Oryzias latipes: one gene and its partners. The main gene of each other region encodes a partner of the protein of the gene in region 2 in a complex. Links are inferred from orthologs where the notes say so. Each region holds a gene or a part of one and is shown on either strand. Other genes may lie near its edges.

Evidence for each region.
Region 1: the proteins of filamin-A (region 2) and fblim1 are in contact, whole or in part, in a crystal structure (PDB 4P3W), measured with the Homo sapiens proteins. The link is inferred for Oryzias latipes from reciprocal best matches to the Homo sapiens genes FLNA and FBLIM1. Residues at the interface, in NP_001104026.1 of Homo sapiens: Met2207, Gly2208, Thr2263, Arg2264, Gly2267, Ala2268, Gly2269, Gly2270, Leu2271, Ala2272, Ile2273, Ala2274, Val2275, Glu2276, Gly2277, Pro2278, Ser2279, Lys2280, Ala2281, Ile2283, Phe2285, Cys2293, Glu2306, Phe2311; in NP_001337080.1 of Homo sapiens: Lys7, Arg8, Val9, Ala10, Ser11, Ser12, Val13, Phe14, Ile15, Thr16, Leu17, Ala18, Pro19, Pro20.
Region 3: the proteins of filamin-A (region 2) and cftr are in contact, whole or in part, in a crystal structure (PDB 3ISW), measured with the Homo sapiens proteins. The link is inferred for Oryzias latipes from reciprocal best matches to the Homo sapiens genes FLNA and CFTR. Residues at the interface, in NP_001104026.1 of Homo sapiens: Thr2263, Gly2267, Ala2268, Gly2269, Gly2270, Leu2271, Ala2272, Ile2273, Ala2274, Val2275, Glu2276, Gly2277, Pro2278, Ser2279, Lys2280, Ala2281, Ile2283, Ser2284, Phe2285, Asp2287, Phe2311; in NP_000483.3 of Homo sapiens: Ser10, Val11, Val12, Ser13, Lys14, Leu15, Phe16, Phe17, Ser18, Trp19, Thr20.

Annotation. Positions count from the first base shown.
Region 1 is NC_019863.2:1,775,168-1,785,702, reverse strand, and holds the start of fblim1 (filamin-binding LIM protein 1), read left to right. Parts: upstream 1-3,745; 5' UTR 3,746-3,879; intron 3,880-4,097; 5' UTR 4,098-4,121; coding exon 4,122-4,434; intron 4,435-6,727; coding exon 6,728-6,885; intron 6,886-8,412; coding exon 8,413-8,509; intron 8,510-8,585; coding exon 8,586-8,755; intron 8,756-9,185; coding exon 9,186-9,364; intron 9,365-9,547; coding exon 9,548-9,668; intron 9,669-10,535. UniProt on the Homo sapiens protein: Serves as an anchoring site for cell-ECM adhesion proteins and filamin-containing actin filaments. Is implicated in cell shape modulation (spreading) and motility.
Region 2 is NC_019865.2:4,653,810-4,664,244, forward strand, and holds part of filamin-A, read left to right. Parts: coding exon 1-66; intron 67-171; coding exon 172-339; intron 340-426; coding exon 427-550; intron 551-2,275; coding exon 2,276-2,432; intron 2,433-2,505; coding exon 2,506-2,695; intron 2,696-4,451; coding exon 4,452-4,475; intron 4,476-4,885; coding exon 4,886-5,133; intron 5,134-5,855; coding exon 5,856-5,930; intron 5,931-6,379; coding exon 6,380-6,479; intron 6,480-6,562; coding exon 6,563-6,703; intron 6,704-6,779; coding exon 6,780-6,908; intron 6,909-7,146; coding exon 7,147-7,320; intron 7,321-7,774; coding exon 7,775-7,936; intron 7,937-8,022; coding exon 8,023-8,226; intron 8,227-8,315; coding exon 8,316-8,468; intron 8,469-8,548; coding exon 8,549-8,671; intron 8,672-8,752; coding exon 8,753-9,019; intron 9,020-9,092; coding exon 9,093-9,230; intron 9,231-9,780; coding exon 9,781-9,896; intron 9,897-10,435. UniProt on the Homo sapiens protein: Promotes orthogonal branching of actin filaments and links actin filaments to membrane glycoproteins. Anchors various transmembrane proteins to the actin cytoskeleton and serves as a scaffold for a wide range of cytoplasmic signaling proteins.
Region 3 is NC_019864.2:3,332,554-3,342,988, reverse strand, and holds part of cftr (cystic fibrosis transmembrane conductance regulator), read right to left. Parts: intron 6,816-10,435; coding exon 6,721-6,815; intron 6,093-6,720; coding exon 6,006-6,092; intron 5,749-6,005; coding exon 4,983-5,748; intron 4,884-4,982; coding exon 4,755-4,883; intron 4,672-4,754; coding exon 4,634-4,671; intron 4,372-4,633; coding exon 4,085-4,371; intron 3,972-4,084; coding exon 3,892-3,971; intron 2,157-3,891; coding exon 2,006-2,156; intron 1-2,005. UniProt on the Homo sapiens protein: Epithelial ion channel that plays an important role in the regulation of epithelial ion and water transport and fluid homeostasis. Mediates the transport of chloride ions across the cell membrane.

The DNA of each region.
Region 1 (10,535 bases), on a different chromosome or scaffold from region 2:
AAAAGAAAGAATAATCTGTGCCACAACTTCTTGACCTAACAATGATTTGGGAAAACATGTTGAGTAACAATTGGCATGTGCGCACAACAGTCTCTGGGATGTTCAGAAATGTTCTAAATGCAACCACTTGGTTTGGTGTTCATTTTTCCATGACTGGATATGCAAAAGCTTTGATTTTTCATACAATTTTTAAGACTATTTGATCTTTGCAAAGATGTAAAACCTTGTTTTTAGACATTTAAATTTTGCAAGATTTAAAGTAGTTTTAAATTCTCTTTGCTGTACACTTTTCCAAGTGTCTGTCAGAATCAGCCCAGTCCCAAATTGTCTCTGTAAGAGGATCTAAAATTAAGGACATTTTTGATAAAAACAGTCTAAACCCTTTTGCTCCAAGCTCCCGACATTTTTTTCACATTTTGTTTTAACATTCGTGTTTTCCGCTTAATGTACTGGTTATTGTCACTTTGTTCAAAATCATCTTCAATTAGATACATAAAAACTCATAAGATACAAACAATTTGCTTAGAACTACCAATAAAAATTAGAAGGAGCAGAATTTCCAGCAGAAAATGCAGGGTTGAATACTATATTGCTGAATACCGTATTTTCCGGACTATAAGTCGCTCCGGAGTATAATTCGCACCAGCCCAAAAATGCATTATAAAGTAGAAAAAAACACAGATAAGTCGCACTGGACTACAAGTCGCATTTTGACGGGAAATTTGTGTGACAAAATCTGAGACCAAGAACTAATAAGTTCCACAACCTCATATGACACAATCATAGCAGACTGTTTATCTCATAATTTCACAGTAATTCTTTCTCATACTTGTTTATTTATTCCTTTCATGAAGCATCATTGTCCAACTAATACTCTGTTTTCATCCTGTATTTGTAGAAACAGTTGTCATTTTTATTGCATTTCTGAATCTATGAAATCATTGGAAAATAAAATATTATGTTGTTAGCCTTCAAGATCTTAATGTAAAAAAAGGTTTGCTGATTCTCTGAGTCATTTAACATACTCTTAACACTTAACATACCTCAAACATCAAATTTAGCCAGGAACATCATCTCTGTTCCTCACAAATGAACATAACAGGAGGGTTAACAATGTATTTATTTCAATTTAGTTCTAATATAAGTCGCTGCGGAGTATAAGTCGCACCCCTTGCCAAACTATGAAAAAAATGGCGACTTATTGTCCGGAAAATATGGTAAATGCTGCTACGCAGTCCTGAGAAACTGTTTAAACAACCAGGAGCGCACAACGCAACAAAGCACCCTCCCCTGCCGCGAACACAAAGCTACGATCCTGGCCGCACTGCTCCTAGACTTGTTGTTGTGTCTTAGCAGTTGGCCACACCGAATAAGCACTGACGTCATTGCTCCGCCTCCCTCCTGGAAATGCTGTCTGGAATTGAATTATGGGACATGTTTCGCACGGTAGATGAAAAATGAAAATGCAACCCCATCTTTGCATTATCGCTTTAATTATGTCACAGAATAAGCGGTGTTGAAGAACAAAAAGGAAAAAGCATTTTGGTGGATTGATTTTTCTTTTAAGATTTGAGTCAACAAAAGCAGGTTGATTTTGAAAATGAAAAAGCATTTTTGGTATTGACTTTTATTTTTAATTATGCAACAGAAAGGCTTCCATAAAAACCAGCAAGCTTCTGCACCAAGGATTCCGCATGTGTTTCAATGGAGGCAAAAGTCCTGGAAATCCTGGAATATCTTGAAAAGTTCAAGGATTTGAAGGAGCAAAAGTCATAGCTGGAAAAAGCTGAACTTTTTAACATCTGAATGGTTAAAATAGCTGATAGATTGTAGGAGCTAAGTGGCAAAAAATGGTTGAAGATACTAAAATAAAGAAAGAAAAACAGGGAAACAATTGGTTACCAAATACTAGTTATTGGCTGTATGACATAACTACATATTTGAAGTTATGCTTTCTAACATTAGCTTTTTTCCTCACAGGTCTTGTGTTGAACTCCTTGTTTCTAGATTTTTGGAAACATGAGGAAACACAAAAAATAAAGGTAAAGCATTGTTGTGTGTGCGTTTTTGCTTGGACTTTGTTCAGAAGAATCACACCTGTAGTTTACTACTTTCTAGTTATTTATTAATCAAGATTAGTCTTCTCCAATTTTTTGGCTACCTTTTTATGTAATTCTACAATCTGTTACCTCGTAGAGTTGACAAGTAAAAACTTTTGTGCATTTTTATAATTAATAAACATATTTTGAAAGTAATAGAAAAAACCAACTGTCTTTGCTGTGAGGCGTATCAACTTGACAAATGTTTGACCCCTGATGTTCGATGCAACAAAAAAGATTGAAGTTTCTTCAGCTGAACAGACACAATACACTGAGGAAAGAATCACAAGGTTCTCTTTCTGGCAGCAGCAAAAAGAGTTTCACTTTGCAAACAGCATTTTTGAGCAATGACACAGCATGTAAAAGCGGGGGCTGTGATACCTCCATTACTGACTTTTTTGAGACGTAGACACTTGCAGTTTTGCAGCTCTTCTCCATAGAGGAGTTTAGCTGCATGTGTTTTCTCGTGTACAATGTGTTTTTCATTGTTTCTTTGGCTTCTTTACTTCTCTTAACCCCCCCCCCCCCCCCCTTCTTTTTTAAGCTGTAAGCAAAAGGAGTCCAAAGGCAGTGATGAGATGAAGACTTTTGTGAGGCATGTGGGGTGTTGAAACGTGGAGGTCCGGGAATTGTCTCCTCTCTGAGCATGTTGTGTCTCTACTGGGCATGCTCCCCTCTGCAGTCATGACATCACAGCAGCATTCCTTTCCAAAGAGCTGGAACAACAGAGACCCCCATCTTTCTCCTCATTGCCACCTCCTGTTAACCCTCGCCGTGCTTTCCCTTTCTATATAAAGCGTGAAAGCTGGTTTTATCACTCCATTCTTTTTAGCAAATTTAGAAAAAGTCAGGCTATAGGGCTTTGGCTGCTTGGTCAATTTATAGATATAAAAAAAAAACTTGTGGTAGTCCTTATGGATGGGCTTCATTCAGACTAAAACGTCTCACAATGCCTTGATTCAGTGCACTGTAATCCTGCTCCTGTGCACCAAAGCTTCACCAAAATAGTCCGAGGAAGTTCACCCCAATCCTCTGCGCTCTGTGCTGGATGTCTTTGTGGCCCCAGAAGAGGCGATGCCAAAAGACGCTGATAGTGAGTGAAGTGATATGATTTTGTGGGGGGAGGGGAAGAAGGAAAGAGGGAGAAGAAAAACGAAGGCAGACCCAATGAGGGCTGCAGGACCAACAACAACACACAAGGTTTCAGAACAACAAAAGCTTTTAGGCTGCAAAAGTCACGTCGAGTCACATCCTGCTGACCTCCAGAGAGAACCATCTGGGAGTGTTTTCTACGGTGCCAAAGCAAATACCTTTGTGACACTTCGTTTGAAAAAGCGCTCCTCTATCTTCTGCATGACTTCAGTGCGGTTGCATAACCTGCGGTGTGTGTGTGTGTGTGTGCATGCATGCATGCACGTGTACGTGGGCTTGCGCGCTTGCCAGCCTTTCATAGTGAATAAATGTGTCATGGTTTTTACTGCACTTCGCCAGAGATTAACTGTTCACCTTTTACGGTCTGGAGGGAGGTGGCATTGTCAGGAGGAGGAGGAGGGGTCAACAGATGGTAAAGCTGGGGAGGGAGGGAGGGAGGGAGGGAGGGAGGGAAGGAGGGAAGGAGGGAGGGAGATAAAGGAGGAAAAGGAGTGGCCTTCTGGAGCCCCTCTCCACCAAGAGTGAAGTCTTCTGCTCGTGGGAGGGAAAATAAACCAGAAGGTTTGAGATCCAGAGAAGGAGAAAGAAGGAGACAAAGGGCTGTCTCTGAGCAACCTTTTCCCCACAGGTACGTATCCATAACATGCAATACCGACTTTTACAATGTGTGCTTTTCTTCCTCATTATTTTCTCATTGTGAGAAGGTTCTCTGAAGCCAAAGATGAAGGAGCTTATTCACACTAGAATTACTGATTAAATGACTTGTTTATGAATATTTTTTCCTGTGTGATGAAAGCAGAAAGTTTCCCAAAGTGAGTCACAACTGTTGACCTGTTCTCCTGTCAGTGTGGATGAGAGCTTCTGTCCATCATGGCATCAGCAGCTCCCCCAAAAAGGGTGGTGTCTTCTGTCTTCATCACTTTGGCGTCTCCTCATCGGGCCACTGTCACACAGCGGCAGCCCTCCCTCAAAGCCTACAGCTTACAGCTGGGCGCAGAAACCCAGGACACCAGCCCGGCTGGCGGTTTACCCGGCCCCAGACACAGGACGGAGGACCACTCACCCTCCGACACCCGCGGTTCTGTAAACGGCAAAAGCTGGACTCATGCAAAGGCCAGGACTCCTACACCTGCACAAAGCGGACAACAGGAAAACGCAGACCAAACAAAGAGATGCTCACCAGGTATGTAGTGCCAAGTATCTTTCTTTTTGAAATGCATTTAACAAGATCAATCCAAAGGCACGGTGCACAAAATGTTCTGGTATGATAAAGTTTAACTCCGTAATCAAAAGTCTTACAAAAAGAACAAGTGCAAGTGTAAGAAAGGAGGATTTAGGAGGAGTGGGGCACACAATCTGCAGCAGGAAACTATAATTAGTGTGCAAATTCGTTATTTCTGATGATAGCTAACAACTGTTGTGGTGACAAGAGGGGAGCTATGAAGTGGTGAATGGATAAACAGGAAACAAACCAGACCCGTCGTGAGTTTGTGAGTCTATCGGTGACTAATCACACCTCCTAAAGTGAGATTGAGCAATGTTGTTTTACAACACCTGAGTGGCAGAAATGGAAGTAAACTGAGAGGGACACAAAAAGACAGATGTGTAACTTTCAGTGGAGATCTGATCAGTGCATCAGTCGTCCTGGCGGTCTGATGCGACAGGCAGCATGAAGTGGATTCTGCTCCTTCTGTTCCTTTTTCTCAATCCTACATGAAACCTGATTGGGCCTTTGGGTCTTCCGTCTGCCCATGAGCACCGAGGTTTGTTTTCACAGTGATTACAGGAATGCAGGCACTGTAAAGTCAAGAAAACTTTGCACTCTCATATGCAGAGAGCTGAACTGTTTGCAACACGCGTGTTCAAAGCAATCATGACGTCATCATTGCATCAGGAATCAGCCAACCTTGACTTGATAGACTTGGTACCTGAGAAGCTGAAAACAGTAATGAAGCAATATCTAAAACAAAGAACAAAGTAAAAAAAAAAAACTGTGATCCTATGGGTTCATAAAATGTTGTTATAGAACTCCAACTGCATGTGTAACTTTGAATAGTTTGTCTTGGCTGTTCAGACCATTGACTGTATAAGAGAACTGGACTGAGTGAGAGTGACATCACCCATAGAACATGACTCCAACCAAATGAGAACAATTCAGTCACCACTCAGTGGGTCTGAGTCATCATTTCTGTGTCAACCACTCTCACCAAACAGGAGCCAGCTTGATGGAAGTCCACACCCCTAACACTTGAAAGTGGGCTCAGGAGAATCTGTCAATCAAACATTTCAGATTTTAGACGTGGGGGCCGGTGGGCACCGCATGTCTTTTATTGAGGCAATTGATTGGTCAGTTCATAACTTGAATAACTAGCAATAAAGAGGTAAAAAAAAGAGGATTATCAAGAACAGGTTCAAAAAGGTATCAGACCCAGAATGGTTCTTCTGACCAATAGAATGAGTAACAGCTGTTAATTTCTCTAACAACGTCTATGGGATTTTGGCTTCTTGGAACCATCAGGTACTTCCTGTTTGGAACGCCACGGGGAAGAGTCACTCAATCCAGCAGTCAATGGTAGCAACCGCTTATTCATCTTACTGCGTCCTCTGCACACACCAGTTATTTAAATAGCTTTACTGACCTTCCTTTGAATACATTATCTCATAGTGATTCAATGTGAATTTCACGCATTGAGGCTTTGGAACAGATATGTATGTTAGCTGTTTGGAGAAATGCCTCTTTATTCTACGCTGACAAGGTGCAGAAAACTCTTTTATTTGTCCGGACTTGGGTAAAAATTAAAAGGGAAATACTTCACTGATCTTCATCCGACATTAACTGCTCAAGGCTAAACTGAACTGAAAGCATCAAAGAGAAATGTCAATCTGCTGGCTCAATTGATTACTCAATGTTTCACATTTTGTGAAGGAGAGATGTCTGTCTTATTAATATTTAGTTTTCTATTTTAGCAGGGTTTTTTTTCTTTTTTTTTTACAAAGTTTTTAAATGTATTTGTAGAACAAACTGTGAATTGTAGATCTGTAAAAATCTAAACAAGAATTTTAAATGAACTTCTGAAATATCTCTATTTAAAGGTTTAGCCAATTTAAAATGTTTTTGGACCAACACATCCAACTTTAGGAAGATTATAACAATGGCCAAGTCAGTATTTGTCTTTTCTATTTGAAATGTTGAATGGGTTTGCAAATAACAATTTGTTTAACATTTTAAATTTAGGTTAGCAATATCTTAGCCTCCTAGTCTTCTGAAAAAAGTCCACGTCAAAGCAATGCTTGTTCTTAATTTTTGTGTTTCCTGATGTTTCCAAACCATCGACGTCCCGCTGTCAGCCCACCCGAGAGATTAGAGAACTCGATTGAGATTGTTGATCACAAAAACCTCTAACGGTGATTTTGCTGTTGATCCTGTTTTCACTAAATGACATCAAACTAGGACGTACTTTCTTGCTTCTCATTAGGGCTCTTTCTTCCTCCTCCTCCTCCTCCTCCTCCTCCTCTTCTCGATGCATGGCGTCCATCTCCAGAAGATTCAGCTCTTCTGCCAGCCCCTCCAGCACAGACTCATTCTCATCATCGACCCTTTCCCCCACATCAGCAGCCAACATCCGAGAAAAAGGTACTCGAGTTTATCCTTCAATGTTACTTTCCAAATGTCCAGTTACTGTTACTTCAATTGACAACAACATGATGAGATAAAAGCTGCAGTACAGATCTGGAGATTTTCATTTCTACACGGCTGTTGTATTTGTGAACCTGCTTTGACATCATCGGGTTCAAAACGTTTAGCTGAGGGTGCAGAGATGCATGGATGCAGACATCCTCTGCTCTCTGCATTAATATTTGATCCTTTGTAGTAGGATTAGGGGATGTCATCTGGACTTGGTTTTAATGTTGGAAGACGTTTCACCTCTTATCCAAGAGGCTTTGTCAATTCTGAAATAGCTGGTCTAAGAGCTGGTTAACGACTCAGGCAGAACTGGTTTGGTTTGTTTAGGTTTCAAAACACTGCCGTAGATGGATGGAAGAATAAACCTGAGACCACCATTCTTATTAAGAGGAGGTTAAGGATGCTGGTCTCAGGTTTATTCTTCCATCCATCTACGGCAGTGTTTTGAAACCTAAACAAACCAAACCAGTTCCACCTGAGTCGTTAACCGCTGAAAGAGACGACCAATTTGGAGAGGGAGTCACTGACTCCCCAACCCCCAGCTGAGGACAAAGGTATATTAACGACCCAAAACCATGTAGGCTAAGTGGACAACACCTCCAGTTTCAGGTCTGACTCATCCCCCATGAACGCATATATACCAGCTCTTAGACCAGCTATTTCAGAATTGACAAAGCCTCTTGGATAAGAGGTGAAACGTCTTCCAACTTTAAAACCAAGTCCAGATGACATCCCCTAAACCTACTACAATGGAACCAACCTGGATGAATGAGAGTCTTCATAGACATATTTGATCCTTTATGTTTTTCGCCTGCATAATTTAATATAAACACTTTACAACCCTTATGCTATCTTGTGGGGTCCAGATGACCCCCCCGCCCCCCCCTTACATTGAGGTGTTCTCCCCACCATGACAAAGGTGGATAAAGGTGGACAGATTTCATGTAATCCATGGTCACCAGTGAAGATCACAAATCATTGAAGAAAAAAGGTTCAGAACACTGTCTAGTGGGTCTAGATGACCCCATTGCCAACGTTAACATGCCTCTGAGGCACTTTAACGGTGGCAATGGGGTCATCTAGACCCCACAAGATAGCACAAGGGTTAAAAAAAACAACAACAAACGAATAGGAACAATTTCATAAACTGTGGCTTTTTCAGAAGATTTATATAATCTTGTGACGATGTCAAGCATAGCTTCATCTTGTTAAAGCAACATTTTTTCATGTATGCACTGCATATAAATAAGTTCAAATTCTTTAAGTTGAAACATTTTCTTTAAATAAGCAAAAGAAAAAAAGTCTGCCAATGGGGTGAGAAAAATTGTCTTACCAAGAATTCCTATTTTAAGAAAAAGAAATTCTAGTCACTGAGACATGGTTTTTGCAAACTTAGATTATTTTGCTTTTGAAAATACTTTTTTGATAAGATTGTTTTTTGGTGTAAAGTCTATATGTTTGTGATTTTCATTAAAGGTGGAAACAATCACACCACCTAGTGGGATGAGAAAAGAGGAAGAAGCCAATGGAATGAGAAACAGCGGTGGAGAGGAGGCAGTCAGGGAGAGCGGCGGTAACTGCGATCTGTTTGCTTTTGTGTGCACCCGCACATCGCTATGACCTACTTTGACGCTCTGCTCCCTTTGCAGACTTGTGCGGCTTTTGTCGGAAACCAATAGCCCTTTTTGAGACTGCCATCGATGCCCTGAACAGGACCTACCATGCTGGTTGTTTCCAGTGCAGATCTTGTCACATTCCGCTGGCTGGTGAACTCTACTACAACAAAGCAATGATCCCCATCTGTCAGGAATGTTACCAGGTAGGTCCACGTCAGCTAAACTTTACAGTGATACACGGGGGCAAAACAGAACAAAACCTTATGTTATCTGTTTCTGGGATTGATAGCTCCTTCCATTTGAAGGTAAAACCAAACATAAACATTTCTTTCTGCTCAAGATAAGGAGACAAAAATATCAAATAGCGACTGATGAAAATTGTATTTTCTGTGGTTTGAACATGTTCCTATAGCGTTTTTCTCATGATGAAAGAAAACTAGGTTTAAAATAGCATTTCTGAGTATGTCACAGCACTTAAAAACAGCACAATCTTATCTAAAAGACCACTGGGAACGCTTTTACAGTAAATTAAAAGATGATCTGAGTGGGTCTTTTAGAAAAGAACAATAACTCATGTCTAATACTGTTATGGATATTTAACAAGTCTTTTAAAACCCTTTTTTTCTATCTCAGGCCAGTTTGGAGCTTTGCTGGGCATGTGGGGAGGCCATCATAGACGACATCATCCATGCACTGGAGCGACCATACCACCCTTCCTGTTTCACATGCACCACATGTCATCAGCAGATCGGTGAGCAGACTTTTGCTCAAGGAGAAGTCGGAGAAGTTTACTGCCTTTTGGACTACTACAGGTATGAAGCAGTAAGTCATTAAGTGAAAATGATGTCAAAATTATTTTTTTTAAAAAGAACATTTTTGATTATTTTGTTTCTTGTTTTTGACTTGCTACGTCATTCTTCAACATTGATACATGAAAAGGGTACAAAGATAAGAAGACATAATGTTTTCTGTCCTGAAAATTGTTGTTCTTAAAGGAAGTATGCTCCTGAGTGTGGCGTCTGTAATCAACTGATCATTCCCAAAGAAGACGGTACTGACAGCTACATTATTGAATGTCTGGGTCGTTCTTACCATGAAAACTGCTTTAGGTGTGAGGTAAGCATCATCCACACCAGGGGTCTGCAACCCTGTGACTATTTTATCCCTCTACTCTGGATCTTTGACTATGAAGGAAAATACGAATCATATGAACTGTCACGGCTGTGGCCGTATTTGGTTTTGTTTTGTTCTGTGTTTTTTGTATTATTTCTGTATCAGAGTGGGACTTGTGTTTTGTGTGGAGCTTTGGGTTTGTATGTCTTTGTTTGTGATTAATTTCAGGTGTGGTGGAAAGGGCGTGGCCTCCCAATCGGACCAGCTGGTGGAGGCAGCCTTTAAAGCCACCACTTGGACCTCCACACCGTGGGGAAGGGAGCCTTGCTGCAACAGTCTCCACTGCAGCTTGGCCCTCTTCTCCATTTTGGTTTTGATTTCACCTCTTGTTTAGTTGTGTGTTGCACTTTAGTATTTTGTATTCGTAGTTCTTTGTAGTTCGTATTGTTTGTGCCCACTCTGATTAGTCTTTTGGTTTATAGTTATGTTAAGTGAAGCTGTAGGGGTGAACCGCCATTTTGTTTAGTACATGTTTTCTCCTGTTTTTGTTAGGTTAGGGAGGTTAGAGTTTTGTCTTTATTTTCCTTTTCCTTTGTACAGGTATGATTACATGTTTCAGTTAGTTGGGGTTTTGTTTGTTATTTTGGCCTGGGTTCACCCTGAAGCCTTTTAGCTTCACTTTTAGTTCTTGTTGGGGGCGTACAAAGGGGGCGTAACAGAACACATCATGTTTCTTTTTGCAGTTTTGGTTCATTTGTTTTTGTTAAAAATTGAATTCTACACCACTGTTGTCATGTTTTATATTTGAAAGTAAAAGGAGAAAAAGGATGAAGGTAGATCAAAAGTCCCAATGATGGAAAAGTTCATGTT
Region 2 (10,435 bases):
AGTATATTCCATATGAGGCAGGAACCTACAACCTCAACGTAACCTATGGAGGACAGCCCATCACAGGTCCACTCACACAAACAGACTTATTGTAAAATCTTGAATCATTTCTTCTGGGTTGATGGATCAAATCCTCATCTGAACCTCTTCTTGATATTTCTGTCTGCGCAGGGAGTCCTTTCACGGTGCCCGTTAGCGACACGGTGGACAGTACAAAGGTAAAATGCCAGGGACCCGGTCTGGGCAACTCTGTCAGAGCAAACATCCCACAGGCGTTCACCGTGGACGCCTCCAAAGCTGGAGTGGCCCCGCTGCAGGTCCGAGTTCAAGGCCCCCAAGGTGACGCATCCTTTTACCTGTAAATGCATGTAAAGCATGCCGGTTGTCTCGCTCTGTGTTGACGCCTTCACGTCTGTGTGGGAGAAGGTGTGGTCGAACCGGTGGAGTTGGTGGACAATGGAGACCAAACCCACACAGTCAACTACATTCCCACCAGAGAGGGACCGTACTCCATTAATGTGCTGTACGCTGACGAGGAGATCCCACGCAGGTAAAGCAGAGACGCACCTAAACGTTTAGCGACTCAGTTTGAAAAATTATGTTAAAATTCACTGACAAATGTCTACCTGTACAAACTGAAACGGAGATCAATTCTGGAGGAAAAAACTAATTTTAGCTTAAAAAAAAAAGATTTCCAGATTTTGTAAACTTGAATTTGCCTTTGCCTGCTCAGGCAGAATGTTTCAAATCGAGGCCTTCATCATGCTAGGTCATTAACTTTGAAATGAAATGTCTACATTTCCTGGGCAACAAATCTAAATGTTCCCACTTTTCACGTTTCTAACAGAAAAGATGACCTGGATTTTTCTCATCTTTTAGTTTATGCAGTTTTGGTAACTTCTTTTGATTTCATTTTTTATAAGACTGTGCAAAAGTTCAGGAAAAGCCAAAATCTTTTTAATGTCCAACTAGCTTAAAGTGGTACTCTCCACATAAATAACCTCCATTCCAAAGTAAATGAGTTGAGATTTTTAGAAATCTAGTTTATTTGCCTTTTCAACAGTAGATGTGGAAAAACTTTGAATGATTTGCTCAAAATTGGAATATGTTTTTCAAAGTGTTCCCATTGGTCTTTTAATTTTAAGTCTAACCTCCTCCCCCCCCACCACCACCACCACCACTTCCCCTCCCCGTTGCTGAGAGCTTGGAGGTGGAAGTTTATGGCCCACCCAGCATATTTTCTGTCACATATTTGATCTTTTTCAAACTGCTTTTTTTTCTCTCCATCTGATCCTGATTCACATTAATTTTTTTTTCTAAAGATATTATTTAAAAATGTAGTTTTAACCATAATTTTCTTTAAATATGTCCTCCATCAGAAAAATGCCACAAGAACATGTTAAAATAAAAAAAAACACAAGTTTCATCATTGTAGGTCTTAAAGTTCAAATGGAGAACACACAACAGCTAAATTAATTTGCTTGATCACACACCTTTTGTCAGCAAAGGTCACAGATTTTAATTTTGTCTTCAACTTGTAAAAAAGTGCAGTTTTTGTTTAAAAAAAAAGCTGCAAATCCAGTTTAGCAAACCTGTGGAACACCTGCCTGTTTAGACACCCTGGGAGATAAAATCATCTTTTTAAAATCTGATTCAAATCCATAAGCGCATCAAAACATGAACTAAACAATCTGGGCATCTCTAAACCGCATTTCCCACAAGAAGGCTGGGGAGGGGCAGATGTGAAGGTCAAAGTTGATATGAGTCTTTATAGTGAGTTAATCAGTAAACATCCAGGAGAAACAGCAGGTTATGGATAAGATAATACACTGATACAATCTCCATTTGCAACAGGAAACTTACTCCAGTCTTGTTCATGCATGATGCTGGATGACACATTTCTCATCCAAATGTTAAAAATGTTTTCATTTTTCAGCTCTGACTAACTCGTTGTTGTTCTTCAAACAACCCAAAAGACTTTAGATGGAAGTCTATCTTATTTCCTTTGTTTTTTCTGACTGACTTTATCCAGATTTTCTGAAATGCAGCACATTTGCAGTTTTCTTTTCAGAATTAATTTAACAATTACTGTTCACCTGTTCAATCAGAAACTGGGCTCACTCAATCCAGCTGATAAACTACTAAAGTAGTTGGTATCAAAAGGCAGTACAGGGTTGGAGATGCCTGATCTAAGCGGTCCGTATTCATCCTGTGCACTGTCATGAAATGAAATCCAGCTTTTTCCTGTCCAAACTTCACCTCATTTTTCTGTCAGCCCCTATAAGGTGAAGGTCCTCCCCACCCACGACGCCAGTAAGGTGCGAGCAAGTGGACCGGGCCTCAACACCACAGGGGTGCCCGCCTCCCTGCCTGTCGAATTCACAATTGATGCCAAAGATGCCGGCGAGGGGCTGCTGGCAGTGCAGATCACGGTGAGGACTCTAGAATAAGAGAACCGGTGGATCTGAGATTTCAGCTTTGAAGCCTTCGTCCTCTCTGCCGCAGGACCCAGAGGGGAAGCCGAAAAAGGCCAACATCCGGGACAACCACGATGGGACTTACCTGGTGTCTTATGTGCCAGACATGACGGGCAGATACACCATCCTGATAAAGTACGGCGGGGATGAGATCCCATACTCACCGTACCGCATCAGGGCTCTGCCCACCGGAGATGCCAGCAAGTGCACCGTCACAGGTGAGATCTTTATACCTGAGCCCTTACGGTCATGGAAATGAACACTTTGGGTTTTAGCTTCAACTGGATCAAATAAACCCCAGTTTTCTCAAAGTCTAGTTGGGTGAACTTGGAGAGGGTGTCAGAATCCAGGCCTTGAGGGCCGATGTCTTACATGCTTTCCAACCAACCTGAACAAACTATTGAGGCTCTTATTGGCTAAACACACCTGATTCAGGTAATTCTGCAGCAGACGAGACCGGATTCTTGGACAACCAGTAGGAGGCCGGGATCTTTAAATATGGAAACTTTTTTTTTCTTAATAGGATTTTGATGTTCTGGAAGCTTTGAGACGTTTTTCTTTTGATACCACCAGCAGCTCTAGATGCAAAGCTGAATCTACAGCTTTTTTTCATTCTCATGCTTTAATGTTTTAGACTCTTCACACTTAAAACTAAAAAAGCCAGAGGATTGGTTTTTGAGATTCTTTAAAAACGGTTTTAAAAGTTTAAGTTTGGAAAACATGGTTACATTTTTTTTTAAATATATTGAGTTGTACTCGAAAGTCTTAATAATTATTTAGACAAAAACTGGACTATCAGATCTAACTATTCTGACTTAAACCAGTCTAAAACAGTTCCTGTAATGCACACTTCATGACCCAATTCCTGAAATTAAGTTTTTTGATGAATTATCTAAAGAACAGACTTGAAGTCATCGCTCTTTATTGCTCTAATTCCTGACTTAAGCTTCTCAAAGATGATTTCTATTTAAATGGTCTCCTCTATGATTTGCAGTAGTTTTCTGAAGCGCTTTAGAGGCAAAGGTGACATCGGCTATCAGCCTATAGAGATAAAGCCTGGGATTAAGAGTTTGCTTCAGTTTTAAGTCCCACTCATATCAATTACCTGTTTTAAAAAACAAAAAAAACACATACTAAACATGTTTGCGTCTTTAAATATGGAAACTTTTTTTTTTCTGAATAGGATTTTTCTTTTCTCTGGAAATACAGTTTGAGATTTAAAGAGGATTTTGTAGAGCTGTGATTCAAACTGGAGTTGTTTACCTGAACATAATTGATGGGCTAAATCTGCACATCATTATGTAAAAAACAAATGAATCACTGCTCTTGTAGAAGGCTGCCTTTTTTTTTTTTTTTTTTTTTTAAACCAGCTTTGTACAGCTGCGTTCTAAGGTTCTCTATAAGAATTACCCCAAAGAGCCGGTCCTTCTGCTATTTATTTATTTATTTCTAGACAGTGCAGCACAGTGTTCAATAACATGTGTGCTGCAATACTATCGGCATTAAATTCAATTCAAATCTTTTTATGAGAAAAAAACAAATGTAATCATAAAATTCACTTTGCTAATTTGCTTAACTTAAAGCTGTTCTCTCCACCAAAACTGTCCAACAGATTCATAATGAATTTGTTTTGGGAAAGGATGAAGAGCTTTAAATGTCATATTTTTGTTGGGTTTGTTTATACATTTTTTTTTTTCCTGCATCTTCTGCTTATTTATGGTTTCGTGCATTGTTGTTCCTCCTGCTGTGCTCCTCAGTTACACATCCAAATGTATAAGCACCTCCATACACGCACACCACCCCGTCCTCCACGCTGCACACTCCACCATCACCGTTTGGTTCTCATCCAGGTGTCTGGAGCACAGTTGTTGCTGCTGTCCTCTCACACACGCCCACCTGACTGTCTTTTGTCACTTTTGTTTTTTTTCTTTTTTTTTTTTCTTGCTTCCCCGCTTCCCACCGTTCCTTTATCAGTCTCAATCGGCGGTCACGGCTTAGGTAAGCCCACTGAACCATCTGTGAAGGAAATGCTCTTCTGTCCGCATGGAGGATAGTGGTTCCAGCTTTCTTCTTCCTTTTTCCAACCCTCCTCCCCGACCTGTTTCTGTTCCCCTCTGGTAACTGTGCGTCGTCGTCCTCCTCTGTCTTGTTTTTGTTGGACAGACTAATAGACTAACAGAGCAGGTAAGATTGCATGGTGGAATGGCTCTCTGGCTAATCTAGCCCTCAGTTAAAAAACATGACGACTCTTAACAGAAGTTTCATTGGTAACAGTTTACAGTAGACTGAAATAACATGACTAGATTGACTTTAACAAATCCTCCAGGTTGTGGAATGTGCATGCTGCGTGTTTGAAGCCACAGTTCGTTTCTAAGCTGCTGCAACGTTATCGCATCTTTTTCTTAAAGGCGCTGGCATCGGCCCAACCATCCAGATCGGCGAGCAGACGGTCATCACAGTCGACGCCAAGGCTGCAGGAAAAGGAAAGGTGACGTGCAGCGTGTGCACGCCTGAGGGGGCGGAGCTGGACGTGGACGTAGTGGAAAATGAGGATGGCACTTTTGACATCTTCTACACAGCGCCACAGCCTGGCGAGTACGTAATCTGCGTGCGTTTTGGAGGAGAGCACATTCCCAACAGCCCCTTCCAAGTCACGGTGAGTGGTGTGGAGGCTTGGTATCAGGGCCTTGGAGGGTTTGGGTGGAGCAGGAACTGTGGGGGAACAAAACACTGATTAGACTTGGGATTAGAAATGGATAAAAACATATTTATCAAAAATACAGCCACAAAGGGTAAAAAGTGGGTATAGAAAACAAGATAAATATTTAATCTTTAGGGAAGATTAAAATACGGGGGAAAAAACTGGATGAGCAGTTCTATCTTTAGTCTAAAAACTGGTTGTTTATGGAACCATTTATCATCTGGACTGCCTCCGGTTACTATGATATACTGGTGTTTTGGCTTAGTTATTTTTTATGCAAATGAAAAAATTACCCGTTTGCAGGTATTTTTTTCTGTTATGTAACACACTTTGAAATGCGTCATAAGATGTTTGAATGAAGGGATGCCTCTGTTTAGAAATGTGGGAAACGAAAAGTTTACTCTTCTCATTTTACAATTTCTTTTTTCCTTTTTGATGTAGTGTTTTCTTACATTTTCTTATGCACATTTAATTAAGACACTTTTAGTCCTCCATACTGACCTCATATTGAATTTATAAGGTTTTCGATGTCCATGTAGCAAAATTCTAGGTTCCTTCAAAAACTACAATGGAGTCGGCCCTTTTTTTTTTTTAATATTCAATTTTGACGGCTGCTTTTGTTTCCCGTCGAGCCTTATTGTGTCTTCATCTCCTCACCCCCTGTCCCCCTCTCTCAGGCCCTGGAAGGAGCTCCCTCAGACCAGCTCATGCAGCAGAGCCAAATGGCCCAGTACTACACTCAGCAGCCCTGGGTACCCAAAACCTGTAGCATCTCTCATCCCCCTAACTCCATTTCTCAAACTTCCTTTCATTTAATATCATCCTTCATCCTTTCGTTTCATCCCATGTAGCAGCTCCATCATCCGTCGTCTCTCTTTGCAGGTGTTTCATGTTTCAGGGAGCTTTTTTCTTCAGACAGAAGCTGACATTTTGAAAGTCCATAATGTGGACTTGCTATTGGTTCCACATCTTTCAAAATGGCTCATTGTGGCTGTTTGTCCTTCCATCATGACTTGCATACGTGTTCTCCTCGCAGTGTGTGTTGGTGCAGTCATTACCGTTGTCTCTTCCATTTGTCATTTCATCTCATGATTTTCATCCTGTGTCGGTGTTTGGAAGTTCCTGTGTTCTTTCTGGGATGTGCTGGAAAAATGCGGCATTTTGCTGCACCCTCCTCATCGTTCATCTGTTCGTTTCCCAGGCAACAGACCGGCCAATGGGAATGAATGGTCTGGATGTGGCAGGGCTGAGACCTTTTGACCTCGTAATCCCGTTTACCATCCAGAAGGGCGAGATCACAGGTAACCTTAAATACTTGATGAAACCAGCAGTTTGCCATCTGCATATCAGGAGTGATGAAGAACATTCTCCTCATCTTCTAAAGGTGAGGTCCGAATGCCTTCGGGTAAGGTGGCCAAACCCGACATTACTGACAACAAAGACGGCACCGTCACCGTCAAGTATGCGCCTACGGAGGCCGGCCTGCATGAGATGGACATTAAATACGATGGCATCCACATCCCAGGTACCGCAGAGGCAGTTTGTAGAAGATGGACGGAACAGAGGCAGAATACCTACAGCTGTCATCCTGATATTCACAGGAAGCCCTCTGCAGTTCTACGTGGACTACATGAACAGCGGAAACGTCAGCGCCTATGGCCCCGGCCTCATCCACGGCACCGTCAACAAACCTGCCGTCTTCACGGTTGATACTAAAGATGCAGGAGAAGGTACGGAGCTGTTTTTTGTTTTATTCTTTTGATTGTATTTTTTTAAAACAAGACAAACTCGTAGCAGAACCCCACTCCTCAGAACACGAGAGGCGTCCAAAAGAATTAAACAAATCTAAAATATAAATCTGTGGGGAGTCCACCACATTCTACTTTACTTTTGTTGTAAAGTTATGAAATCAAAGACTGTAAATTAAAGAAAATGTAAACATAAGAAACCCATTTTCTGCCCTGGCAGGAGGTCTTTCTCTGGCCATCGAGGGTCCATCCAAAGCGGACATCAGCTGCGTGGACAACCAGAACGGGACTTGCACCGTGTCCTACCTGCCTGTTCTGCCGGGAGACTACAACATCCTGGTCAAATACAACGACAAGCACATTTCCGGAAGCCCCTTCTCTGCCAGGATAACAGGTGAGGTTCAAACATGGGGCAATTAAAGTCCCACTCTGATCATCTTCTGATCTATTCTGAAAGCCTCCCTGTGGTCTTTTTAAATGCGTTTTTAGACAAAATAAAAAGTCACTGTAATTTTTTTAAGTAGTTTCCTTAAAGCAGCACAAGTTCATCAGAAGTTCAGCTGATTTTTGGCGGGAGTGCGCTTGTGGCCCGCCCAGCGTATTTTCTACGTAACAAATAAGATCTTTTCAAAAGCAGTTTCCAGCTTCTCCCGATTCACAATTTGAATAAATAATCAGAAATTTAAGCGTAATTTTTCTCTGCATGTCCTCTATAACCAGAAAAATGCCACAAGAACACGTCAAATACATCAAAAACACGATTTTCATTGGAGTTGGTCACAAACATCATTCAGAACTTAGGATAGACTTGGAGGAGTTTGTCTGATCTGTGTGGCTCTGATCTGCAGGTGACGACTCCATGAGAATGTCCCAGCTAAAGGTGGGTTCAGCTGCAGACATTCCTCTGGATATTGGCGAGCTGGATCTTAGCCAGCTGACCGCCTCCCTCACCACGCCCTCCGGCCGCGAGGAGCCCTGCCTGCTGAAGATGCTGCGTAACGGACACGTGGGTGAGTGCGACCTTTTGACCCTAGCGAGGAATAAACCCCAAACACAGCTGTTGCTGTAATGCTCCCGTTATCTATGTTTGCAACAGGAATCTCATTCATTCCCAAAGAGATGGGAGAACATCTGGTAAACATCAAGAAGAACGGTCGCCACATTCCCAGCAGTCCTTTCGCCGTCATGATCAGCCAGTCTGAGATTGGTGATGCCAGCCGGGTCCGTGTGAGCGGGCAGGGCCTGAGTGAGGCAAAGACCTTTGAGCTGGCGGAGTTCATCATCGACACTCGGGATGCAGGTAAAAAAATTGTCTCCAAATAAGATACTTTATTTTGAAAAGACGTTTCGACGTTCACACTGAACATCCTCCATCAATGTTCCCTGAAGGGTATGGCGGCCTGAGCCTCTCCATTGAGGGACCCAGTAAAGTCGACATCAACACAGAAGACCAAGAAGACGGAACTTGTAAAGTCATGTATTACCCCACAGAACCAGGAAACTACATCATCAACATCAAGTTTGCTGACCAGCATGTACCAGGTGACCAGTGTGAAAACACGCAGGAGTTCAGAGGTGATGCTTCATGCTGCAACGCTGATCATCTGGTGTGTTCCTCTTAGGGAGCGCGTTTACAGTGAAGGTGACTGGAGAGGGCAGGATGAAGGAGAGCATCACCAGGAAGAGGAGGGCGGCATCTGTCGCCAACGTGGGCAGCCAGTGTGACCTCAACCTCAAGATCCCAGGTGAGACAGAGAATCCTCTGCAGATGGATTAAATGCTTCCATGCGTGTTTTCTGGAATGAATCTGGTCTTCGGTCTTTCAGAGATCAGCATAGCGGACATGACTGCTCAGGTGATCAGCCCGTCGGGTCAGATTCACAAGGCGGACATCATGGAGGGGGAGAATAACACCTACTGCATCCGCTTCGTCCCCACCGAGACGGGAGTGCACACCGTGAACGTCAAATACAACGGCATGCACGTACCTGGCAGCCCCTTCCAGTTCACAGTAGGACCCCTGGGAGAAGGCGGGTCGCACAAAGTCCGGGCTGGAGGTCCAGGTCTAGAGAGAGCAGAGGCAGGAGTACCAGGTTGGTGTGGTGTGCAGGTAAGCTTGAAGTGCTTTGGTTCCAGATCATCCTCTGACTCCTTTGTTCTCTGTAGCGGAGTTCAGCATCTGGACGAGGGAGGGCGGGGCCGGAGGACTGAGCATTGCTGTGGAGGGGCCCAGCAAGGCGGAGATCACCTTCGAGGACCGCAAAGATGGTTCCAGTGGCGTGTCTTATATTGTCCAGGAGCCTGGTGAGAGGAAAAAATGTGGAATGAAATTGAAATAATTGTTTGAATTTCTGCTAGAGATTCATCACAAAAGCACACTATTTTAAATCCCTGCTGACATCACTACCTACTGCATCACTACCTGGGTTTTGGTTGGTGAGAAATCAACTCGAATTGTTCTAAGTGTTGAAGGCTGCAAACCCCCGTTCTGACCTGTTGTCTTACCTGCAACAAACTGAGCATGCTCAGTTCAGGGTTGTAAAGAAGTGATGGGAAGTTTGGACGGCAGCAACGGAGTTTCAACACGATCTCTGAAAAGTTTTTTTTATTTCTTCAGTTTTGTCTTCTTGTTCAGTTTTTAAGATCAAACCCTTAAAAACTTTAGACTGCAAATCAAAACCAGAGCAAAAAGACAAGCATTTGAATAAAATTGAGGTAAACTTTGACCTATTTTAACCTAAAATGTTCTAAATCTGAATTTTATTCCATTTATTTACTCCAGGAGAGCTGTAGCTCGTATGACCAACAAAAAATAAAGTTCGGCTCTTAAAATTTCTGATGTTGTCCTCCGTAGGCGACTATGAGGTCTCCATCCGCTTCAACGACGAGCACATCCCTGACAGCCCCTTCATCGTCCCGGTGGCTTCGCCGTCGGATGACGCCCGCCGTCTCACTGTTGCCAGTCTTCAGGTGAGGCTCTGAGGCGCACACACATCCGTGCGCTCACGCACCAGGCCACAGCACTCAGCTCACAATGCAGCAGCAGCAGCTGAACCGTTCAGTTACTGCGGTGTAACGATTAGAGAATAGACGTGGAAACCCTTTAAAGTAAGCTGTGATGGTCTGAACTGCTGTAAACAGAAGCTTGTAGAAGATGAGAGCTCTCCGATGCATCAAATCAGCTGCTGCTGTGTTGCCGGGCAGTGCAAAGGCTTCTGGGATACGAGAGGACTGTGTGTGTTTCTCGTGCCTCATTCTAAAGGCTCCCAACAGCTTCCATGAAAGTGATGGGGCGCTAAAGGGTTAAAGAGGTTGAACACGGGCTGCTTTTTCCTCTCTGACACTCAAACTCTCTGACTCTTATCTGACTGCCATGATTTTTGTAGAAAAGTTCAAAAATGTGCTGCTTCCTGAGCAGCTCCTGTGTCTACACTCTGCCTTTTCTGTTTCCTCTTCCTCCTGTCACATCACAGCCCTCCTCTTTAGCCCTGTTAGCGGCTCCAGGTAAG
Region 3 (10,435 bases), on a different chromosome or scaffold from region 2:
CATGCTGTGGGGGGAGGTGCTAATAAGCATGAGCACTGAGACTGCTGGGAGCCGTGGCTGAGGGGGAAAAAAATCACACAGAAGAAACTCCAGACAGCATTCTGAATTTGTATTTTCTGTTAACCAGGTACAGATTAAAAGAGTTTGACTCGGCATCCAAGTGTGGTCTCTCATTCGCCTGAACACAACGCAGAGCGGAAAACTCCACCAGTTACACTCTCATCATGGCATCACTTTCACTCAACCCTCTTCGTCATTTCACCACGTCTGAACGATGGATTTGATTGTTCTCAAAGTGGGTCTTTAACAGCAGCACTGATGCTCATTTTTCCGTCAAGGATCCCTGAAAAAGCAACTGACTCTACTGAAAGTAGAGGAGGCTAAAGTTCAAGACTTTAGCAGTGAAATACAAACAACAACCAGCTGGACCTCAGGGGCTTTTTTTCGGCGCCTGCTCGCAGCTAATGGTCAGCCAGAAAATGTCTGACGTCACCCATTGGATTCTCCCTGGCAAAAACAAACCCTGAAGTGGGATGGGCAGTTTGCTCTGCCCACTTCTGGAACATTCCAAAAATAGTGGGACAAAGTAGCGTTTTCAGCTCTTTTTGTCCACCAGGATCCACACACCTGCCAATCAAAAAGGCATGCGTTTTTTCGGAACTGTACCCTCTCCTATTCTTTAATCATTCTCCAGCTTCTTGAGCTCCGTTTTTCCCTTTTTTGGACCCCTGTCCTCCATCTCTAACATCCATCACTCTCTGTCTCTTCTATCTTCCATCCAGTCCAAAAGAAATGTTGTGTATGTGTGCCCAAGACAATCACTCCCACACACACTAAGACATGAACAGCTAGAGCCGCTTTAGAGCAGGGGTGGGCAAACCATGGCCCGGGGGCAACATGCGGCCCGTTAAACTGTTTAATCTGGCCCACCAAACTGGAATAAAACATTGATTATGCTTATTAATGTTTTATTTTCTCTGTGATGATGGTGTACCCCCATAGATGGTGCTCTACAAATATATTGACGACAAATACGTGTTTTAGGTGCAGAAATACATTCTGTATTCATGTGGTGTTGGAAGAGTTTTTCTAATGTTTATGTATGTTTTTCAAGTGGGGCAGTCATGTTTCCAATCATTCCAAAAGCACACGAACGCAGCATTTCTCAAAGTTCGTGTTTTTAATGAAGAACATCATTGGTGCAATTGGTGGGAAAATGAAAAAAAAAACAGTTTTAAAATAATAGCTCTAAAATGTTCTGTTTAATGTGTATCTAAAAAATTTTAATCAAAATTGATTCCTATTTTTGTCCAGACTCCATGAAATTTTTCATGGTGGATTATCAAAACACGACACAGATCTGCTCCTGATCCAGCCTTTCTGACAAATTTAAAAAGCCTTTGTGGCCCACGAGTCAAAATGGTTGCCCACCCCTACTCTAGAGTAACCAGTTAACCTATGAAGAAGGTTTTTGGACTGTGGGAGGAAACTGGAGTCCCAGGAGAAAATCCACGCTTGCACAGAGATAACGTGCAAACTCCACACAAACCAGGGCTTTCACTCTGTGAGGTGAGAGTGCTAACCTCTGCACCAGAGTGTGGCCCTGCTTGACCCAAATAATACCACATTTGAGCAGTAAAATGATTGACTAGTTAAAAATAAAAGCATCCGACTGTATATGATATTTTTGGAGTATAAGTCACAATGTTTTGCATTGTTTGACTGGTGATGTGGCGATAAGATTTTTTCTTCTTTATTATGTATTTTAGGCTGCTGCGACTTATACTGCGGAAAAGATGGTATATGTTTCTTAATAAACCCCACTTCCAACATGGGAGTCAGTAGGAATTTTCTCCCTTCTGACACCAGCAATCTGTTGAGGAACTGGATTATTTGACACTTGTTTTGTGTTAATTTTGGAGACAGAAGACGGGGGGTTGGTACTGACACATCATCAGCAGCAGCAGTTTAGAGACACTTTTTAAGACAAAGGACCTTTATTTACCTTCAGCCTCCAGCTGTTTGAGCTGCTGTCCTGTTCGTAGATAGTACTTCCTCAGGACAACAAATATGACAGCCAGGGGAATGGCAGCTATGAAGATGTAAGGTCGCATGATGGACACGGTGAAGATGCATCCGATGACCAGTAGTGTTAACTAAGGTGAGAGAAAGAGTGTGATAGGAGAGCATAAGTTACAATTCAAAACCACATATACGACAAAATAAAAGATGACCAAATAAATGTGGTTCAAACAAAGTACTTGTTCCATCAGAAAGCATAATTTAGTCCACTCTGCACTAGACATCATGTGGCTGTCAGTACCCAGCAATGAGACACAAAAATAGTTTCTTTGCATTTGCATTTTATGGATAGAATAAAAGAATACATAGGCATCCAAAAAATGAAGGAAGGAATGTTATTTAGGTTGTTGTAGGCTATTATAGAAGCTACCCTCTTGGACAGTTTTAAAGAAACTGTTCCTCCACTTACGTGCCTCATTATCTGCCTAGGTGACCTTTTATTATGCTTTTAACTCTTGTTTAATTGTTTTGATCCTTTTCTTTGTTTTATCGTCATATTATTTGTTGATGTAACTTTATGTACAGCACTTTGGGCCTCCTTGAACGGTGGTGGAAGGTGTTGAATGAAGAAAAATGCTTGCAGGTTTTTCACTTACCCCCTTTTTCAAAGATGCTTACAAGACCTACAGTACCTGCAAGTTCAAATCAACTCCCCAATCTGTATTTGAATTGAAATGGAATCAAATGAAATAAATGGTGTGCACTTGTAAAGTTCTATTCTACCTTGCTCAAAGGCCCAAAGTACTTTTCAGTTACAGTCCCATTCACACACACTGATGGCGGCTCAACTACTGAACACTGGCGCCAACGTGTAACCACCACCAGGAGCATTGTGGGGCTCAGTGTCTTGCCCAAGGAAATTTTGATTCATGGGCGGGAGCCAAACCTGCAATCCTCCAATCAGGGGTTGACTACTCTGTTCACAAGTCACAGAGCTAGTCTAGATCATTGACTCTCTATGAGAAAGAGACTGAGTGACTGCTCCCCCTTGTTGCTCCAAGCAGGAAGTACCTGCTGGTTCTTAGAAGCCAAAATCCCATTGACTTCTATAGAGAAATAAACAGCTGTTATTTAGTCAATCTGCTGGTCAGAATAATAATTTTGGCCCTGCTACATTTTTTACTATGTTCTTGATGATTCTTATTTTCTCCATGATACTTTTTCTTTGTTACAAGTTTTTTAAGTTATAAACTGAGAAATCAGGAGCCTCAATAAAAACAGCTGGTCTCACATTCAACATTTAAAACGTTTGATTGGCAGATTTTGTGAAGCCCGCTTTCAAGAGGTAGGGGTGTGAACTTCTGTAAAGCTCACTCCTTATTGGTGAGAGTGGTTGCCATAGAAACAATGACTTAGTCTGATTTGGACCAATCACTGTTTACTGATGGTGTCTGGTTCCAGCATGTCGACATCAGTATTTTAAAAAAAGAAAAAAATGACTTCATTTGGTTGGAGACGGAAGTAAATCCTTTTCTATGGGTGACGTCCCACTCACTCAGTCCAGTTCTCATGTACAGTCAATGGTTTGGAGTCAAGTCTCAAGTTCCAGCCTTTAAGAATGAAATGCAATTAAAGACCAAGGGTCATGTTCAAGTCCCCATCCTGCATCCGCCATATTTCTGAACAAAATAAGAGCATTTTGACTGCAGATGAATTTAACTGCACTGGATAGTTTTAAGAAACAAAGAACAAGCAAGAGGTGACTGCACCAACCAGCACCAAAACCCTTTTTTTGATCTTCATTTGAACCTACAAAGATAGGATTTTGCCTGCATTGAAATTTTTGGTTACATTTTTATTGTACAATACCTGTATGAGGTCAAACAGCATAGGAGGCAGCATGTCTTCAATAATGGCCATGTCCTTGGTAAATCTGTTCATTATGCGAGCTAAAACACACAGACATATCCAAGTTAGCCTTACACCCCACTTCAGTGAGAATGGAAGTCAGTGTGGTTACTCAAAAGTGGTAAATATGACATCAAAACAAAGAAAAGGGCACCTGTTTTAATGGAATTGAGCACGGACATGGGGGCGCGCAGCACAGCGCTCAGCATCTGCTCATGAAGTCGTTCGGAAACGGTGAGCAGTGAGTGCACCAAAGGAAGGCCCCTGAAGACTCCGAGGGCCAGTATGCTGTCTGAATGGGCCACAAAGATGTAAATAATGTAATAGGCGCTGGTCGGAGTCACAATAACTGCCAGATGGACCGGGGGGGACGAGGAATTGATGGGCTGATCATCGATGTAGTTGGGTGAGTTTGGGTTGGCACCATCTCTCCAGACTTTACTGATAAAACAGAGCAGAAGACAGAAAGTCACGCTATGCTTCAACGGAAAAATGATCACATTTTGTCTTAAGGTTCAAAACATCCACTTAATTCTAGAAACCTACCATTGATAAGGTTCATAATTAAACATAATGTGAAAAGGAAAACATTTCCAAAAAACTCCAACAAACACTCCAAAACAAATATCTCAGACTCTGAAAACTAGATTTCTGTTTGACAATGAAGAGTTTTATTTCAGTTTTGAGGAACACTGACACTCACTCTGTTATGAGAAAAATACCAATGACTGAACCAGCAACCTATCAGTGGAGACAAGGACAGAGATGTTCATATTATGCTCACAACTTTAAAAGCATGGACTTGAAAAGGGTTTGAATCTTACCTCAATGGCAAAAACAATAGCAATGAAAATAAGGACATATATCAGGGTTTTGTTGGTGGAAACATAGCGGAGGTAAGTGCTCCACGAGGTAGTCACAAAGACATTCTCACGCTCATCTGCAAAGCATTGCTGTGGAAAACAGAAGAGACACTTGTACCCAGATGTTGACTGAAGAACATTTGTTTGCATTTGATAACACATGAAAAAAAGCCTGTGTATTGGGCACACCTCCATGTCTTCTTCCTCCACCTCTTCTGTGATCTCAAAAACGCTGTCCTTGGACAGGCGCCGTGCATAGATGTCCAGCTCTGTTGCCAGGTCGTACTGTGGTGTGACAGACAGCTTTTTTCTGAACGATGACTGCATCCTCTCTCTGCGGTCTTGGCCCTGAGCGTTAGTAATGAAAGCCAGGACGGACTGGCGCCGCTGTCCACCGAGGTGCTGCAGCCCGTGGTGGTACAGGTTACTCCTTGGAAGTGCTTCCTCCACTTGATCATCCTCCGGCACCACAGAGAATCTTCTGTCGGAAAGTTCATTGCCACCCTCCTCCATGAGTGACGGCTGGAGTGTGCCTGTCTGCTGGGAGTTCCCTATAAAGGAGATTTTGCGAGCAGCTGCAATGGGGTTAAGGATGAGAGACTGTTTGCGTTTTTCAGGGTATCCATCAACCCCGTTGTGACCCTGAGGTGGCGCGTGCTGGAACGACTGGCGAAGTGCTTCCGGGCCTCGGAAGCCAGCGGTTTCGTCAACCGAGACCCTGCGAAGAGTTTCTGTGAGAATGGAAGAGCGTCGCTCCGCGACAATGTTGTCATAAGCTTCAAGACCAAGCAGGAGGGAGCTGAAGTCGGGGCGTTGTGCCTGCAGCTCTGAAAATGTACCATAAAAGTAACACTCTCCGTTGTGCAGCATGAGGATTTTGTCTGAACGCTTGAGGTGCTCTAGCTTGCTGGTGACCACAACACGGGTCTTGGAGCCCATCAGCTTACAGACACATCTGTGGAAAGAGGATGAGGCATGCTCAAATGGATCTTTAGCAAAATATACAAACGGTTTCTGTTGAAAAGCACATATTGGAATGCAGAATAAGGTGTCTCATGACACCAGACATCATTTCATCAGAGTGTAATTCTTACAGACCGACTGCTCACCACAGCTAATAAACATGAAACAACAAGAGAAAACCTTAACCTTGAACTTTAGCATCCCTCCCACCCCACTGCTGCTTGAAAGAGTTTCTGTCGGCATACGTACTTATCAAAGACCTCTTTCTCTGTTGCAATGTCCAGGTGGGTGAAAGGAGCATCCAGCAGGTAAAGGGCTGCATCTTTATACACACTCCTGGAAGACAGAGTGCCAATGCAGCCAGTCAGAGAAGAACACAAAGGAAAAACATTAAAAATAAGAGTTGAAGTAAAGAGAAAACAATGAGCACAGCTGTTCCTAAACATGAAGCAAAGGAAAGGTGAGGAAATACAGTAAATCATTCCAGCTGACCCTTTCCAGTGAGGGTAGAAACAATCAGAGGCCACAAATCACTGCTACAACATAACACTAATAAATCGTTCACAGGAAAATGAGAACATGTCTGATGATTTGTTTCTGCATAAACAGTAAAACATTTTAAGGAGTTTTTTCACACACAATCAAAACAGAAAGCAAACCATCCTCTGTGAAGGGACAGACTATTTTGATAACAGCGAAAAATTCCTTTTTCCCTCTGGATTTCCACTGATAATCAAAGCAGCTGGATTATAAATGTACCTTTGTAATTTAAAATGATTAAAAATTAATATTCCTAAAATATTAAATAAACTTTTAGTAATTCCCAAACCGTTTGAATCCTTCACATGTTACTTTAAAATAATGTTATTGGACTTTTTAACTTTTTTTTTTACTTCATTCGTGCCCACATTTGGTGAAAACAAAGGTCTGTGCCCAGACTGATGCACAGCTGTGCAGTCAGTACCTGGCCAAGCAGATGCGTGCCCTCTGACCGCCGCTGAGCGTCGATCCTCCTTCACCAAGAGCTGTCTTGTCTTTTTCAGGCAGTGACGCAAAGTCCTTAAGAGAGAAAAACACGTTTATCAGCATGATTCCCCCGTAAAAGTAAAAAGGGGAATTTATTGAAACCGAATTTTGAAATTTGCTAGAGATCAAACTAAGAAAGTAAAGCATTGAAAAGCCTTTGCTTGTATGTCCAAAGAGGCTCAATCCTGACTTGAGTTTAAATGGATCAACAACAATAAAGTTTCTCAAAGGAGAAAGAAAAAAAAACTATAAATGAGAATGAAACACAAACAAATACAGCATTTGATAGTTCCTTATCACAGAAACAAGAATACTCTGCTCTGGAGTGTGTTGCAAAGATTTTAGCACCAGCCCCTCCCAACCCACGAAAATGAGCGGGTCCTCACATTGTGACGTCACAAAGGAAGAACAGCCCCTTCCAGGAAGAGTCTGTGCTGCCAGCCCCGCCCCCTGGCTAACACACACACTCACGTTCTCCACTGAGCTAGCGATGATCGGCTAAATGCTTTCATTTGATGTGCACAACATGGACATCAATCTTTGCAAAACTTTAGATGTTGCTTGTTTTTGTGGGTGAAACGCAGAAGACGACTCTAGATTGACGTCATTAAATGGGCGGCACCCACATGGAGCGGACGGCAGTGACTCTAAGAATGAGCTGTGTTACTTCAGAAAATGAGCTGTGAAAATAACCAATAATTTCATTTACAAAAATAGTTCCTAAGTGTGCCAAAGGTAATATATTATCACATATATGGATCTAGCCACAGGGGTTGCAATCTAGCCACAGGGGTTGCAAGCCAGTAACTTCTGTGCCGGTCCCAAGCCCGGATAAATAGAGAGGGTTGCGTCAGGAAGGGCATCCGGCGTAAAAATTGCCAAAATAACCATGCGAATCATCCACGAGAAAGATTTAGACATACCGGATCGGTCGAGGCCCGGGTTAACAACGACCGCCACCGATGCTGTTAACCTACAGGGTGTCGGTGGAAATTTGACTACTGTTGGTGGAAGAAAGAGGGGAGGCAGAAGGGTCCGTGGCCAGAGAGAGAAGGGAAAAGGCAGGAACATAGGTTTGAGAATAGGGACTCTTAACGTTGGCACAATGACAGGGAAAGGCAGAGAGCTGGCAGACATGATGGAGAGAAGGAAGGTAGATGTACTGTGTGTGCAGGAGACAAGGTGGAAGGGCAGCAAGGCACGTAGTATTGGAGGAGGATACAAACTGTTCTATCATGGTGTTGATAGGAAGAGAAACGGGGTAGGAGTGATTCTGAAGGGGGAGTTTGTAAACAGTGTTCTAGAGGTGAAAAGAGTCTCAGACAGGATGATGAGCCTAAAGTTAGAAATTGAAGGGGTGATGGTGAATGTAGTCAGTGGGTATGCGCCACAGGTTGGCTGTGAATTAGAAGTGAAGGAGAGATTCTGGAGTGAGTTGGATGAGGTCATAGAGAGTATCCCCAGAGGAGAGAGAGTTGTTATTGGAGCAGACTTTAATGGGCATGTTGGTGAGGGCAACAGAGGTGATGAGGAGGTGATGGGCAGGTTTGGTGTGAAGGAAAGGAATCTGGAGGGACAGATGGTGGTGGACTTTGCGAAGAGGATGGAAATGGCTGTAGTCAACACTTACTTCCAGAAGAGAGAGGAACATAGAGTGACATACAGAAGTGGAGGTAGGAGTACTCAGGTGGACTACATCCTATGTAGACGAGGTCATTTGAGAGAGGTTAATGACTGCAAAGTGGTGGTAGGAGAGAGTGTAGCCAGACAGCACCGCATGGTGGTGTGTAAGATGACTCTGGAGGTCAGGAAGAAGAAGAGAGGGAAAACAGAAAAGAAGACCAAGTGGTGGAAGCTACAGAATGAAGAAACTTGTGAGGAATTTAGGCAGAAGTTGAGACAGGCTCTGGGTGGTCAGGATGAGCTTCCAGATGACTGGGAAACTACAGCAGAGATTATCAGGGAAACAGGTAGGAAGGTGCTAGGTGTGTCATCTGGAAAGAGGAAAGACGGTAAAGAGACTTGGTGGTGGAATGAGGAAGTACAGGAATGCGTCCAGAGGAAGAGGTTGGCTAAAAGGAAGTGGGATGTAGAAAGGACTGAGGAAGGTAGACAGGAGTACAAGGAAGCGCAGCGTAGAGTGAAGAGAGAGGTGGCAAAGGCCAAACAGAAAGCTTACGATGAGCTATATGACAGGTTAGACACAAAGGAAGGAGATAAGGACTTGTTCAGGCTAGCCAGACAGAAAGACAGAGATGGGAAGGACGTGCAACAGATAAGGGTGATTAAGGACAGAGATGGAAAGGTGTTAACAACCCAGGAGAGTGTACAGAAAAGATGGAAGGAGTATTTTGAGGAGCTGATGAACGAGGAAAATGACAGGGAAAGAAGGGAGGAAGATGTGGTTGTTGTGGAGCAGGAAGTAGCAGAGATTGGAAAGGATGAGGTTAGGAAGGCTCTGAAAAGGATGAAGAGCGGAAAGGCCGTTGGTCCTGATGACGTACCTGTGGAGGTATGGAAGTGCCTAGGAGAGACAGCAGTGGAATTTCTAACAAGGTTGTTCAATAGGATTCTAGAGAGTGAGAAGATGCCTGAGGAATGGAGGAGAAGCGTTCTGGTCCCGATCTTTAAGAACAAGGGTGACACGCAGAACTGCAGCAACTATAGAGGAATAAAGTTGATGAGCCACACAATGAAGCTGTGGGAAAGAGTAGTGGAAGCCAGGCTTAGGAAGAAGGTGGAGATTTGTGAGCAGCAGTATGGTTTCATGCCCCGTAAGAGCACCACTGATGCCATTTTTGCTTTGAGAATGTTGATGGAAAAGTACAGAGAAGGTCAGAAGGAGCTGCATTGTGTGTTCGTAGATTTAGAGAAGGCGTATGACAGGGTGCCGAGGGAGGAGCTGTGGTACTGTATGAGGTCGTCTGGAGTGGCAGAGAAGTATGTCAGAGTAGTTCAGGACATGTATGAGAGAAGTATGACGGTGGTGAGATGTGCTGTAGGTCAGACAGAGGAGTTCAAGGTGGAGGTGGGACTACACCAAGGATCAGCTTTGAGTCCTTTTTTGTTTGCTATGCTGATGGACAGGCTGACAGACGAGGTAAGACAGGAATCTCCCTGGACAATGATGTTTGCGGATGACATTGTAATTTGCAGTGAGAGTAGAGAGCAGGTGGAGGAACAGCTAGAGAGGTGGAGGTTTGCTCTGGAAAGAAGAGGCATGAAGGTCAGTCGTAGTAAGACAGAATACATGTGTCTGAACGAGAGGGATCAAGGTAGAAGTGTTAGGTTACAGGGGACTGAGGTGAAGAAGGTGCAGGAGTTTAAGTACTTGGGGTCAACAGTTCAGTGTGATGGGGATTGTGGAAAAGAGGTGAAGAGGCGAGTGCAGGCAGGTTGGAGCGGTTGGAGGAAAGTGTCAGGAGTGTTGTGTGACAGAAGAGTGCCAGCAAGACTCAAAGGAAAGGTGTACAAGACAGTGGTGAGACCAGCTCTGCTCTATGGGTTAGAGACGGTAGCAGTGAGACAGAGACAAGAGGCTGAGATGGAGGTAGCGGAGATGAAGATGTTGAGGTTCTCCTTAGGAGTGACCAGGTTAGACAGGATAAGGAACGAGTACATCAGAGGGACGGCTCATGTTGCCTGTGTTAGCG